Oreochromis niloticus: one gene and its partner. The protein of the gene in region 2 purifies or fractionates together with the protein of the main gene of each other region. This does not show direct contact. Links are inferred from orthologs where the notes say so. Each region holds a gene or a part of one and is shown on either strand. Other genes may lie near its edges.

Region 1 (7,476 bases), about 7.6 Mb from region 2:
CACGACTTTTTTACCAACACTGGTGTGCCAAAATGTGTCGTGTCACAACCCCAGTCTGCATGAGGGAAATTTTTGCAACTGTGAAAATCTCAATGATCTTTTTTTAAGCAGCTTTTCTAGTGTGTTTAAAGTGTATTTAGTGCTGTAAAGTGTGCACAGCATCCAAGCCTGATGCGAGTGGGAGATAAAAGAACAGTTCTTCTTTTTACTTCATTTTTATTTTTTTAAATTAATTTTATTAAATTATTAAATTTTTATTTAATTCACAAATGACTACGTGCATTTTTGAAATAAATGCTTATCATGGGATAGAAATATAGTCTTGTAGTTCATCTAAAAAAAAAAAAAAACAAACAAGCTAAAAAAGCAATACAGCACGTCTTAGTCGTGATCACCTGATATTATAATAAAAATGTTTTTTAAAAAAGACATCTCTCAGTATTTTGTATCATATCATTAACAGGCTAATGTTAGCAGACTGAAATGACTAAATTAAGCACTGACAAACAAGCCCAGCTAGCCAACACACACACACCCACACACACACACCACAGAAACATGTTACAAAACTTTGCACTAACGCTGGCCAAATGACTACAATAACTCAACCCAGAGCTGGTATGGTGTTTAAGAAAGCAGTGGCTAAAGAACAGATGCTGTTCTCTGCTGCTGAAAAAGTAGTAATGTTAATGCATTAATGTAGCTAACTTACCTAAAAACAAAAACAAATACTAAAAGATATTGAAAAGCTGCACTGTCTCTCACATCACCTTTGATTGTACTGTCACTGAGACAGTGCATGAAAACTAGTTATTATTATGACTGCTATTATTAGAAAAAGACACCAGTGAAAAGAACAGTGGAACTCTGAGGTTTGAGCAAAATAACAATCTTTAAAGTGTACAAAGGGCAAATATCCTGGCAACGGGTCAGTTAGAACAGATTTTTATTGACCCGTGCAGTTTTAGAATGGTTTGTGTGAATGAAGGCTTCATACACATGTAGACAAAACAAGAACGGAAATACAAATCGAATGAAGGAAAAGTCATCCCAGGTGATGTGTCTCTGTTTTTATGCGGAAGATCTTCCTGAAAAGTGGATTCTGGGCTGGTTCTTCAAAGTGACGCTAAATGGGGTTTCTTCCTTAAAATTTTGTATCGCTTTCATTTCAAAAATCAGGCCATTTTGGCAACAACAAATCCCGTTTCAGGACTGCTGCGCTAAATGTTTCACATCTTAATTTAACTGCAACAGTGGAATCATTCTAAGTGGGTCATTTAAAGTATGACATCCAACAAGTAAACATACGGTACCTACATAAAACGCTGCGGGATTAGAAAGTGTCTGAGCAGAGTCTGCAAGTCACAGTGCAGCACTCTCAAAACCAGCCAGAAATAATTCCTGTCAACAATACATCGTTCACCAGTGATGAGCAGTGGATGAGAAGGATTTTTAACTTTTGATCAATGTCAGCACCCCCACAACTCTTTATACTACTAATCATGAGCTCATTTAGCAACATTCGGAAAACTTAAATTGCTTAATGCACTGAAAGACAGGAAAAAGAGAAGAAAAAAAAAAGATGCCTCGGAGCTATTAATATGTGCTGACACTGCACACCAAACTAGTCATTCAGCTCACATCATGTACTATTATTAAGGCAGGCTACCTGACAGCATCTTCAAGTTTTAGCTTACACCAAAATGTGATCACACAGACTCAAAGCTTTTAAGCCTTCTGAGAAAAGCATTAAGAAACAGCTTCGGCTGTCTGGCTGCTGTTACGTTCTTTTGGGGGGCAAACACCGCAACACACTGAATCTGTTTATGGATTTCAGTTTTGGGCTGCCTGAGTGATGAAGTCATGTGAGTGAGTATGCAGAGAATGGGGTTCAGCGCAAGAACCTGATTTCATCAGAGGCGACACGCCTGGGCTCCACCGCACATGAGGTTCACTTTTGCTTCCTGCGAGAAGGGCAAATTAGTGACTGGGTGACACCATCCCCGGTGATCGGAGGAGTATGTTGATGCAGCTAGTGAATTTGGTGTCCATGTGTTTGCTCCTCAAGGCACCATACTGCCAGCGACTAAAACTGTCACCCTGTTTCTATCTAGTCTCCAGAGAAGAAGCCTTTCACACTTTCTCTCACACTCATGCACTGCCTGCTGCAGTTTTCTGTTCTGAATCTCAAGTCTCGCCCTCCCCTGTTTCCATTACACTAGCAACCAGCACAGTGTGTCCTTGGGGGACATATTTGGGATCAATGGGCACATGATAACAGACCAACAAGTGACCAACAAGTAAACACAACTGGGAAGAATGGAAGCAGGGGAGAAGTGATGGTTTGGGTACTTGCTTTTAAGTTATCAGTTAAGCAAAGAGTCTACAAAAAAAGAAAACAAAATAAAAAACAAAACCCTTGCACTGCCTCTGACTTTTCATTTAGTTGTGACCATATGTAGTCATCTGTCCGCAAGACACGAAAGGAATCGGAAACTTTTACGCCTATGAAGAATGACTGAGCTAGTGGTGGATGACACTCCCTCCCCTCCTGTTACTGGGGGCTCTCAGTGTGTGCGTGTGTTCGCCTTTTCGCCCACTTACTGCAGGCAACACTGGGCAGGACACTATGTGGAGCGAAGCAAGGAGACAGCTGCTGGAATGGGATGCAAGTGTAGCTGACGGGTATAAAGTTTCCTTCCCAAAATCCCATCCATACCCCAACACTACTGCGTTTCCTCCCGTAGTGATTGTGCTCCGCAGTGAGAGTGAAAGTGAGAAAGTGAGCGACACGAGTAGACAAAATGAAAAAAATAAATAAAAATACGGGTCAAACCAACAACAAAAAAATGCCACGTGCACAATAGTGAAAATCAACACAAATACACACCCAGCAGCCCAGCGCGTGAACGCAATCCCATTCCAGGGGTAACAAGGCAGCTAGCCTTAGCCAGTAAAAGCTAACCTTGAGCTGGTGCTAGCTAAACCCGTCTTTAAATATTCGCGGACGGCCAATTGGGAGGCAGGAGAAAAATGTCACACCACATATTCATTCATTTACGCGTCTTTCAAAGGGGAAAAAGGCGAAACACACGTGTTTCCTCTTGAGTGAAATTCAGAGATTTGTCCCGAGATGGTTAGCAACGCTCGCAAACAATCAAACCGGGGTGGTGTATTTACGACCCCCGTGCCGAGAGTGAATGGAGAAATGCCGGTGTAGTACCATGTAAGAAAAGCCAGCACGATTTTTTTTATAAAAAATAAAATGCTATTTCCCCGGACTAGCTCGCTAAACTGTTTTGAGCACGAGAAGCTGTATTATTTTAACTAACGGGTCAGTTAACCAGCTCTCCTTAAGTCAACCTTTTGGTTTAAAAACGGGACCAAAAATATGAAAATATCATTAGCCGCTACCAGCTAGCAGACGCTTTATTTTAACTGGATAGCCGAGAAAAAGAACAATCCGTGAGGCCCAATTAAACCACCATTTACACCCAACACACTCATCCAAGCTTTATCTTGAGCACCCCCTTTTTTGTTGGCGTATGTGTTGGTCAACAGACCCCCATAATTTGATCCATCCGAGCCCCGTGTAAGGGAGACCGTTATACAGTATCCCGAAGGTGGAGCGGTGAGGTTCAGTCTAGCCGGGCAGGACTTACCTTGCTTGCTCTCTATTTTTCTCGACATTTTCGTAGCCAGCAGCTGTGATCCCACTCGCAGTTCAACAAAACCGTAGCTACAGACGAGCCTCGCCGTGCCTCTCCTCGGATTATTCCCTCATTTTCGATATATTGTGTCCACGAGATGATTCCGCCCCGGTTAATATAATATATTTATAGGCCACAGACATTGGTACGGTTATAAACTGCCTCCGTCCGTCTCCGGGTAATTTTCGCTGGATACACACACACACACTACGCTCACGTTAATGCCTTGAGCGGAGACTCGGCTAGGGTAGGCTATCACCCAGTGCAACAGCGCCCCCTTGCGTCAGGAATTAGCCACGCCATCTGTCAACAAGAGCATGGGCGTGTTTCGATTTCAGTTCAAAGTTAAAGCAAGCCTCGAGTGTAATCCATACTGATTTTGCAAGTACTGTTGCACACAGACTCATAAATTAAGTCATCTGTCTTTTTCATGCAATTAAAAAATAATGTGGAAATTCACCAATCATCCATTCGCCCATATATCAATCTATCGTAGATGGAAAAAAATTGCAGGGTAGCCTGGACGGTAGCGATTTTTTTTTTTACCTAATCAATTTTAGCAGCAGAAGGCTAATGAAATGATGGAGTCCGCAGGCTTCAAACAGCCATTTCAGCAGCTCGGTTCAAAACCAGCATCATGGCCAAAAAGACAGAACAAGTCTTAAAACTAGTAAAAGCTCCTGAAGAAATCAAGTGTTGCACAAAAAGATAGAGCAGGGATGTTGATCGGTGTGATCATCAAAACAAAGCAATGGCGCTCTATATAATAATTAATAATTAATATATGGTTAATAATCAGTTTCAGCAAATTAAAAAGATTACATCGCCAAAGATTTTTAGATTGCGAGGGATCTAAAGTTTTAAAGCGTTACTCACAGACATTTGCCTTGGTTCTTTTGCTTGTTAATATCTATGTTATTCACATGTTTTGGAACATGCGACTGTAATAAAGTTGAAAAGCACATAACGATTAAAAGTACAATACCTGGTTAAATGAAGGAATCTATCTAAAAAGACGTGTGAGCGCTAGAAAATGCATGGACACTTCGCAGTTTTTTTCTGGAAGTGTAACTGGTTTGCATTTTTTTCTTTGCACACGTCTTTTCACTCACTTTTCACTGTTTATACACTAGTTTGCATTTCGTCCTGTTAAAAGAGGGTTTTTTTCCCCGCTGTCACCAAGTGGTTGCTCACAGGGTCTCTGATTGGAGGGGTTTCTCTGTAGCACTGTAGGGTCTTTACTTTCCATATCCTCTAGTATTAAGCAGTTACAGTTAACGTTAGTGTATTTCGGCACACATTTTTTCCTCTCTAAGGCACTTTCAGGGCAGCTCTTACTCTGAAAACACAGCACAGCATTTCTTGTATTTTTGCTTATCATTTAGTATACTTGCCTAGAGTTCAGTGTGTGTGTGTGTGTGTGTGTGTGTGTGTGTGTGTGTGCAGTGTTTTGACCAGGAAGCCAGCCTGGCAAGACCCACATCTTGGCTGCATCTCATCCTCCAATCAATTAAGTCAAAAGATAATGGTACGGACAACAGCCAGAGTAACTCTTAATTAGATTTTTTTTCCCAATAAATATTTTATACAAGGGGAGTGTTTTCATAGCAGAGGTGATTTATGCTTCGAGCGGTTTTGAATCACTACTGGTCGTTTGAACATTTAGCACATCAGCTCTAGTTTGTGTATCTAGAGGCAAACCTGTTATTTTTTCCACATTTGATCTCCAATCAAAAGCCAGTAAATAACGGCATTCACAAAAGTTCTTTTAAAATAAGCAAGAATTGTGATTTTAAAAGTGGTAGTTGAAAATTTTAATATTTCAGTAATATCTATGTCCTCTGTCATAGACATTAGTTTTTTGTCTATATCTTTTGGCTCATTTGACCTATCCTAATAAGTCCTGATGTACCAAATAGAGGACATCATGGGCTTTCCATTGATATTTCGTGTGTTTGTCTTTTGGTTTCAAAAGGGAAGGAAATCACAAAAAAAGTGGAAAGATTCACTGTTCCTCGGTTCTCGGGAGGATATATTAACTTCTGCTTTGTAATTACAGAGTAGTTTGAACCATTTACATGTTAAATGGAAGCACAGAGCCCCCTGTTGGGCATGCTAAAACCTTGCTTAGATGCATATACTACAACTACATTTTTTCTTATTTTCTCCTTGTTACCATTCATGTACTACATGTGACAGGAAAATTAAAGGCCGAGTAGAAGAAGAAAGGGGAAGCATGGCTCTAATTTGATGCTCGTTTCAACTGCTGACTATGGCATTTGCTCACTTAGTGCTTCACATTATCCTCTCTATTAAAGTGCAACCATCTAGATTATGTCTTGAGTGTACCAAGACGAAGCGAGCATGCCATATCAACGTTTTATGAATAATTGATCTGACTGACAGAGTGATCTACATTCCGTGAGTGATCTGGGTCAGCTCATACACTCACAGTGCGTCCGTGAACGCAGAGGCATGCATTAAAATACTGAGATAAGGAGTTCATTACACACTGTTGGCCGCTTCTTCTGAGCTTTGGTGCCGCTCACCTCATCAGCGACCGGATTTAATCGCTTATCAGAGAAAGGCCTTGAGTGTCAAGGATTCATATTTACACTGGCTGTCATTATGCCTGCTCCCTTGTGCTCTTGCTTGCGCAGCAGAAGCCACACCCATATAAGAAGTGCAAAGTGCTTGCTTTGTGTGTTTGTGCTAGGGAGAGGTGTGTGGGTGTGTGTGGAGGAGGGGAAGGAGTGGAATACGTTCCCCGAGGCTATGATAAAGTCACAGAGGGAAGACAATGATCTGCCAAGCAATGCCAGACTTGTCAGGGCAGGATAGGGCCTCACAGCGCAGTCAGAGTTGGTCTGTTTTAGAGCGTCTTGGTGTTTTCCTGACAGCCTGCATTCAGTCTCCCACAGAAACATCCAAGCAGCTGTCTCATCTAATGACCACGTTCACTTTGGGGCTTGAAATTTCAGCTTCACAAGTCAGCGTAAAGCCTCTCTGCCACGAGTGACAACTGATTGCTGGCTCTACTAATGAGACAAGACTTTAAAATATACACAGCAATAACTAGAGGAGTCTTCTACATCTTACTGCTTTGTCACATGACTCACATTTGTCTTTGTTTTCTTTCATATCATTTTCACTTTTTTTCATTAAATGTCACTTAAGCCTCAGCGCAGCCCTTTGCTGGCTGCATAGTAAACCAAGCACACGAGTCATGCCGCTTTATGCCACAGAGTGGTGCTCTTGGTCCACTGATCATTCTTGTATGCTGGAGCTCAGCCTCACGACCCTGTGGTGGTACACTTCTAGTAATGTGCTGTACATGCGGGTAAATGTCACAGAATCTGGTAATACAATGATAAAGCTCTTTGATGAGCTTCACTGAGGGCAGCAATTAAAAAAAATCAGTATGATCATCTTAATAAGTCACCAAATAGTTAAAAAAATATATTAATTCCACTGTTTAAAGTTATAACTACTCCCCTTAATGAAGACAGATGTTTGGAAATAGCAAGCAGGTTAATCCATCACCACGCTCAGATATTCAGGGTCGATACCTCTGATGAATGTGGGAAGCTTTATACCGGTTCACACTGGGAAATTTCCACTCTGGGCTTGCAGCAAGATCAGGTCAGCTGTGCGCTGGATGCAGTTCACCATTAGACGGGGCAAAGAAAGGAGAGGCAGGAGAGTTTTGTTAGCTGAGAGCTGTCAGCGAGAGCTTTGAGATGGGGTTTGATCTTCGCGGTGGTGC
Region 2 (7,081 bases):
GTCCAGAGCTAGTTGTGAACAGACATAGTCTCCTGGTGTAATAATAACTTTTTATATTCAAACAAACAGGAAGGGCCTGATAAGAGCAAGCAGCAAGATGCTAAAACCACAGTTTGGTTATTAGTCTTTTAGTGTGAGCACACATCAAGAGGCTAGAATGTCAAAAGGACTCAGAAAAGGCGAAGCTTATCTGTAGACACTTTCTCACATTGAACCCAGCAAAACTACTGTGGTAACTGAAGGCGGGACTGGTGTTTCCCCAGGTCATTCTACTACTTAATTTTGCAGTTTTAGTATAAAAAGAAGTGATAGTTTTACACAGAAGCCTCTCCAAGCTTTGGTCACACAACCTAATTTTTATAAGAGTTACCTCTTGAGATTGTTGTCTATGTTTAAGTAACCTGACAGCTCCTAGAGAGCTGTCAGGTTGTGAAAATGTAAAAACACAAGTTTTTTCAGTGTTTTAACTTGACTGAGGTGATAAACTAATTTGTGTAGAAAAGTCTAAGCTGCACACAGACATCTTTGATTTATTTGGGCGCAGATGGAAAAATAATTAAGAAATGACTGAAGATGGAATACTGCTGCTTTAGGCAAAGAAGCTTATAGCGTGTTGTACTCCAGGCCCTTACCTGGCATATTAATTTACTGCATGATGTTGCATTACAGATCAAAGGTCCAGCTAAACAGATTTATGAAAAGTTAACGATTTAATTACAATATCCATCCTTTATAAAAATGAGCAGTGCATTAAAACATGATGAAATTACACTGATCCCCTAGAAAAAAAACAAAAACAAAGAAATAAAACAGGTAAGATCAAATAAATACAATACCTCTAGAGCAAGAGCAGTCTTGTCGTAGGCACAGGGCACTCGTTTCTGGATGGCTTTCGCCATGACAGGGCCGTTCTGCATGGACGGTAGCGGAGCGATAACTGCTCCAGGTGCGTTGGGCATTGGAGAAGGCGTCTGGGGTTGGGCATAGGCATGAGCAAGAGCATTGGAGGGCTCAGGGATCCCATAGCTGTTGGAGTTTCGCGATCCATGAGAAGGTTGGCCAGGGTGGAGTGAAGGTCGTACCACTTTCTCTACGTAGGGCACAGGGATCATCCCAGCACGTCCATCTTTATTCTTGGCGCTCCACCACTGCTCCTCCGGTTTTTCCAGGATGATAAGGATCTCCCCCTTCTTGAAGGGAAGGTCCTCAGCATCGCTGCCGGTGAAGTCGTATAGAGTCCGCACATACTCCAGATTCTCCTCTGCTCCAACCATGGGCTGGACAGGAGGACTCGGTGTACTTGAATACCTTAGAAAATTAAAAATAATGACGAAATTAAGTAAATGTTAATTGGTTATCCTTAAAAGTCATCACTGTGAAGCCTAGAATACAACAAAACTGCATTATTTGTTGAATAAAATCCTTTATAAACATGATTACCTAACTCCTCAATTACCAAAATGTGGTATCAGGTTTGGCTATAAAACCACACAAATCCTGAGTGAGGTTTATTTTTCCAGTGGTACCAACACTTCAAAGAAAAAACAAAACCCCCAAACAAACAAACAAACAAGCAAACTAGATGTGTGGTAATAGTGCTGATTTTATGACATAACCAAGTGAAACTGGGTTAGTTCTGATAAAAATAGTATGGTAAAGTGCTAGAGGAGGCGTGGTGGGTGACCTCCCTACCTGGGGGCTGGCTCTATCAGCGTGGTCGTGTCCAAGTAATGGATTTTGTAGAACTCCAGGAGAGCTGGGAGGTGGTCGAACTCTTGATCCCCTATTTTGAACCTCTTGCTGGGCAAAGAGTTGATGATATAGTGAGACACTTTGGAGTTTTCCGACACCGACAGTACGTAGTCGCCGGGGCAGGTCGACGAGTCTCGAACAAGAAACATGCCATGTCTCTGTCCTTGTAACCTATTCTGTGCCTCCTGTCGTGACACGGGTCCAAAATACCAGGCGGACCGATCAGAGGAATCAAATCGAGCAGTTGACATTTCTGTTCAAAAATAAGTTAATGTGGGCTTACAAATTAATATTAATAATAATAGAAAGGAAAATACTACAGGATTGGCTAGGCAATAAGTTAAAAGCTGTATGCGTGGTTCCAATTGGCCAATCACAGCAAACTGTAGGATTTGGAAGACTCAGGGCAGGGCACTCGTCGCTCTGGAAGGAGTTTCCGAGTGATTTCTTCACAAAACGCCTCAGGCACCGAAAAAATCTGTTTAAGAAAAACAAAAACAACCTGGCGTTTTTGTTTTCTTTTTTTCCCCTCCTTTCAGATGCAGGCTGCCAGTGACTTGATCCAACTCTGGAGCATACTGTTGTCCCAGTCTGCGGCCGAGCAGTTGTTAAAAGGGGGCCAAAAAACAGAAGAAAAACGAGCAAACTTACGACAGGCTACCATTGACGGAGGGCCAGAGAAGCAAACGATCAATGAAGCTTCCCCTTTTCGTTCCGCCTTCCGAGAAAACACCAAATCTTCTCTTCTAATAAATGTATCTCCTCCAGTCAGTATCAGTTGTGAGAGCGGAAAATGTGGCCTCACTTTTCCCCCCTTCTTCTTCTTTTTTCTTACATCCGATAATCCCTCATCTGTGCACAAAGGTCCCCGGCAGGTCACGAAACTATCAGCCGAAATCCTGCGGAGCTCACGGCGAGACACACTTCATGGAAACGCGTTTTCGAATCCCCTTTCTCGAGTCGGAGCAGACTTTTGAGGCAACACAGCAGAAAAATGGCGGCTCGCAACACGTCTTCACACAAAAAAATGATTTCAGGGCAGCGGCTCGTCTCCTGCGCGTGCATCTCAGGAGCCACGACCGTTTACAGGAGCTGTCGCGTGCATCCCCGACCGCTCACGAGGGATCTCGGCTTAACGATTGCTATATTTTATACTTTCCCTTATTTCCGCTCGTCCCCACTAGCACAGGCTACCAGAAGTACTGAGGTCGAAAAATGGCGACGGGAGGGCAGGTCCCGCTTTCTATCAGCGCGTCACTGACGGCAGGAGCGAGAGAGAGGGGAGGGGGGGAGAAGTGAAGGAAGGAGGTGGGCGTTTGGCGAAGCCACGGACAGCCCCTAGCTCTGCGAGAGTAGGTGTCAGTCATTTCTCAGTGAACCATTCTGCTGATAGAAGTAGCTGTTCCATCGTCTCGGGAATATAGTGAATATAGCAATATGGAGCATGTCGAGATACAAGTGTATTTTTTACTCCGTGTTCCTGCTTTGACGTAGTAATTTAATTGGATGTTTGCTTTTCAAAACTTAAAAGGGATTCACCGTGTGACTCAAAAATATAATACCACAGTTTAAATCAGGTTAAAGAGTGGCTAAACCTCAAATAAATGCTAAACCAATAGAGAGGCTAAGCAGTCAGGTCTTAAGTAGGCAACATTGATGTTAAAAGCTGCTGTAACATACTATATGTGTATGAGAGCGAGGTGTTATTTCTGTTTATATCCCTGCACTGTCATTAGTTGATTCTTAATTGGAAATATGTGTAGGCAGTGTTTCACAGTCATAGCTGGTTCTGTTAAAGCTAGGCTAATTTAACTACTACTTTTACCCTACAACAGTGGAGCATATTTTGCGATCCATTGCAGCTTTGAAGTAGATACTGTGGAGTAGACAGTGCTAATATATGTACTTTTGACAGGTAGTTATGTAGGTGTGTGAAGAGGAGCATCAAAATTGAGCTTTTTTTTCTATAAATGGAAAACATTATTCTATAAAATGATTGACAGATAGAATAAGCTACAGTTCTGAATAAAAAAAGGTCAGATGTCTGCCGAACAACGTGTTCTTATGTTAGTACTGTGTTTAGTGATTGTCTCGGATGTTTTTGTGTTCTGTGCCTTTAAATCAGTGGTCAGCTCGTGTGTTTTTAATATACTTTTTTAGCCACATAACCGCAGCCCATAGGTACAGTATATTTGCTCAGTCAACAACTAATTCATACCACCAGTAAAAAATTGTACTTATTTCCCTATTTTCATTTCCTTGTGTTATTTAACTTCCCCTTCATTCATTCTCATAATAAGTATTATCTGGCAAAGAACTGTGAAAAATCGATTTGGAGCTCACCCAGAATGACCCAACCCAAAACAGAATATGCTGCGAGAGAGAGAGAGACGGAGAGAAAGAGAGAGAGCGCATTTAAATGCAAGGGGCAGTGTCTCTGAAGAAGAAGAATGCAATCTAAGCGAAAGAATGCATCTGAGAACACAAGCAGAGTGCGGCAAGCCATTCAGCCAAGCAGAACAAGTTTTACTCAGTGATAAAAGCAGGATCTGTAAAGAAGTAGCTCTGTCCCTGTGGTGACTGAGCTTTCAGTGGCCGTGCCTCATGAGGCTACAGCTGGCACAGAACAGCTCTCATCACTGAAACACTGTCTGAATGTTAATAGATTTGCACCCACCGAGACTTAATGGCTAAAGCCTGCCAACTCCCACATTTCCACAAAGATGCAGTGATGCAACTAATTGGAAAGAGAAACAAAAAACAGACTAGTTTACTTAGAATTATGGGTAAAAAGGCTGATATTATATGCACGAACCATACTGGCTTCTAACTAGGGCAACTTTTCATTTAAGAGATTGGCTTTGTGGGATTTTGCAGGGTGAGACATACAGTATCGTTGTCTGACCTGCTGTCTAACCTTGTATGTAGATGCACACTGAAGGTTTCTTCACAAACATCACCATCTAGTGGATGTATGCAAAAGGCAATGCCTGCCATCATCCCATTATCAATAGATTCTGTTGTCTGTCTGTATGGCAGGTTAAGATTAAGCGATACTACAGGTCCAAACGTAATGAAACGTGAATTTTTGACCACCTAAGCAGCAGTTCTACAGTCCTTCAAGTGCTCTCTTAAGTACCAGCTGCTACAAAAACCCACCATACCAAAATGGATAACTTCAGGCCAGCACACACGCAGAAAAGCCTAGAAAAGCTGGTTCTTCAACCCAAAAACCCACCTGTAACTGGTTTTGCAATAGCTTAGAAAACTTTTAGCCTCTGTTAAACTCACATCAACACAGTAACCTTGAATGGATGCTCCCTTTAGCTCAGTCTTGATGCCCTGGAGTCTGAAGATTAAATGCACAGATGACACAACCACCCTTGACCTAATCGGTGGTCGATGAGTTGTTGCACAAGGAACTAGTGAACAAAACCTGTGATCTTGTTCTTTGCACAGGCGCAACAAAAGAAAAGTAATTATGGCTGGAGAGGCCCCCTCTCCACCCAGCTCATTTTTCGGCTGCAGAAGACGCAACCTAAGACACTGCAGAGAGCATCGGCACAGTTTTATTTCAGCCAGTCAGATTGTGTGTAAAGGCCGTTAGTCTGCAAATAAATTCCCCTTCCCCCACTTAAGACTTAACACTTAAGACTTCATAAGAAACTTACACATTTTACAAACCATCTTCTGCTTGTAACCACTTCAACCCCTCACTACCCTTCTGTGCCTTTATCTCTTTCACACAGCGTCTTTCTCCAGCTCTTTTCTTTGTGCATTAAACTTATATTTATTATTTTCATGGTGATGTATCCTGTGAGACAGTGACAGGAATTCCAGTGTAGTGATGCAAACTGCAGTTAATTATAATCTAAATCACGTTTTGAAGAGGATGTTCACATGGTGCAGGATAAGACCTGTGTTGGAAAGGTCAGTTTCTCTGAGACTGTAAATTTTGCTTAAAAAAAGCTTTTTATTTTATTTTAACTTCGAATAAATCATAGATACTAAAGCTGTTGAGCAGAGTTGCAACCTTGCTCTCATGTGCCAGAACACAAACACACAGATTACCTTGACAAATCCTGCCCAGGGTCACACAGACAGGCATTCAGGAACAAGATCATGTTAAGTTTTTACCATATATGATAAAATACCTGTATTCTCTATCCATGCAGTTTCTGGCAGTGGGCGAACCCCCTCCCAGCCTTCACTTTTGAAATACTTAGCCTCTACTATATTTTATTTTAACATCCTACCACGTTCCTGATTGTTGTCACTGGCATTCAGTTCAAAGTTGAGCATGCTTTGATGTGAAGACTAACGACAGACAAGCAGCAGACTGGTAAATATGGCACGAGATGCTGCTGTTAAAGAGTCAGTGCATTTTTAGACCAGTGTAAGGGTTTATATAGATGAGCGACTCACTGTTACAGCCTCCATGGCATGAGTCACCTTTTACCTCTCAGCCTGGTTTCCCAGAATATGCAGTCAGGTTTCTGTAAAGGTAAACCTGTTTACATGCTACTAAATGGACACAAATAGGTAGATATCCATAGATATTCTACATTTCTAGAAATACTTCTAGATTTCTACAGGTACACCAGGTTCACAATAAAGGCTTCAGATAAAGCATTTTCACCCGCTTCATTACTTCCTCATGTTTCAGTTTGTTGTTGCTTTGGTTCAAATGTTTTTAAATGAGCCACTTCCCCATAGCATTTCTAAAACTTTAAGAAGCCACAATTATCTCTTGTTTCTTACAATATCACATTGCATTACCTGTGACAACTTCATGCTCATAGTCTTACCTTAACTTTCTAAACTTTTTTGTTCTCACTAATTATTTTTTCATTCAGTTAGTGAAGAGTTAATACGAGACCACAGCCTAATCTAGTGCAACTGACGACGTTGCTGTAGCCAGGCCTGTCAAGTGGTCAATTCTGCTTTTGGTTATTTTAACTTCCTCGTTTTCAGTGAAGCGTTCATATGACAAGCAGGTTCAATAAAAAGACACGCCACGGCTTGTTTATTTTATTCTGTTCAACTTTATGCAGTGTTTATACTGTAAATACATGTCCAATATAGATGTTATGGATGAATCAGCAACTAAAGGAGCTGGTGAGGGTTCTTCTAAAGAGAAGGAATAAAGGGAAATGTAGCCTGTGAAGCAGAAAATGACTCATAAACCATGTAAACAGGACCGCGGTTGGGCTTAATTAAACACAAGTAATGCTCCACATAAACAAATAAATCAAAGCTTTAAATACATTTCTTAATATATCTAATTATCGCACACTTTGGCACACTTTGGCAAATCTGTAGCGATCAA

What was found. Proteins that work in one complex are often made in the same cells at the same time.
Region 1: the proteins of crkl (region 2) and rapgef1b purify together in Homo sapiens (affinity purification with western blotting; 16 studies listed by BioGRID and IntAct, with this or other methods). This does not show direct contact. The link is inferred for Oreochromis niloticus from reciprocal best matches to the Homo sapiens genes CRKL and RAPGEF1.

What each region holds. Positions count from the first base shown.
Region 1 is NC_031972.2:16,285,902-16,293,377, reverse strand, and holds the start of rapgef1b (rap guanine nucleotide exchange factor 1b), read right to left. Parts: upstream 3,015-7,476; 5' UTR 2,922-3,014; coding exon 2,891-2,921; intron 1-2,890. UniProt on the Homo sapiens protein: Guanine nucleotide-releasing protein that binds to SH3 domain of CRK and GRB2/ASH. Transduces signals from CRK to activate RAS. Involved in cell branching and adhesion mediated by BCAR1-CRK-RAPGEF1 signaling and activation of RAP1.
Region 2 is NC_031972.2:23,838,200-23,845,280, forward strand, and holds the start of crkl (crk-like protein), read right to left. Parts: upstream 3,014-7,081; 5' UTR 2,004-3,013; coding exon 1,693-2,003; intron 1,309-1,692; coding exon 837-1,308; intron 1-836. UniProt on the Homo sapiens protein: May mediate the transduction of intracellular signals.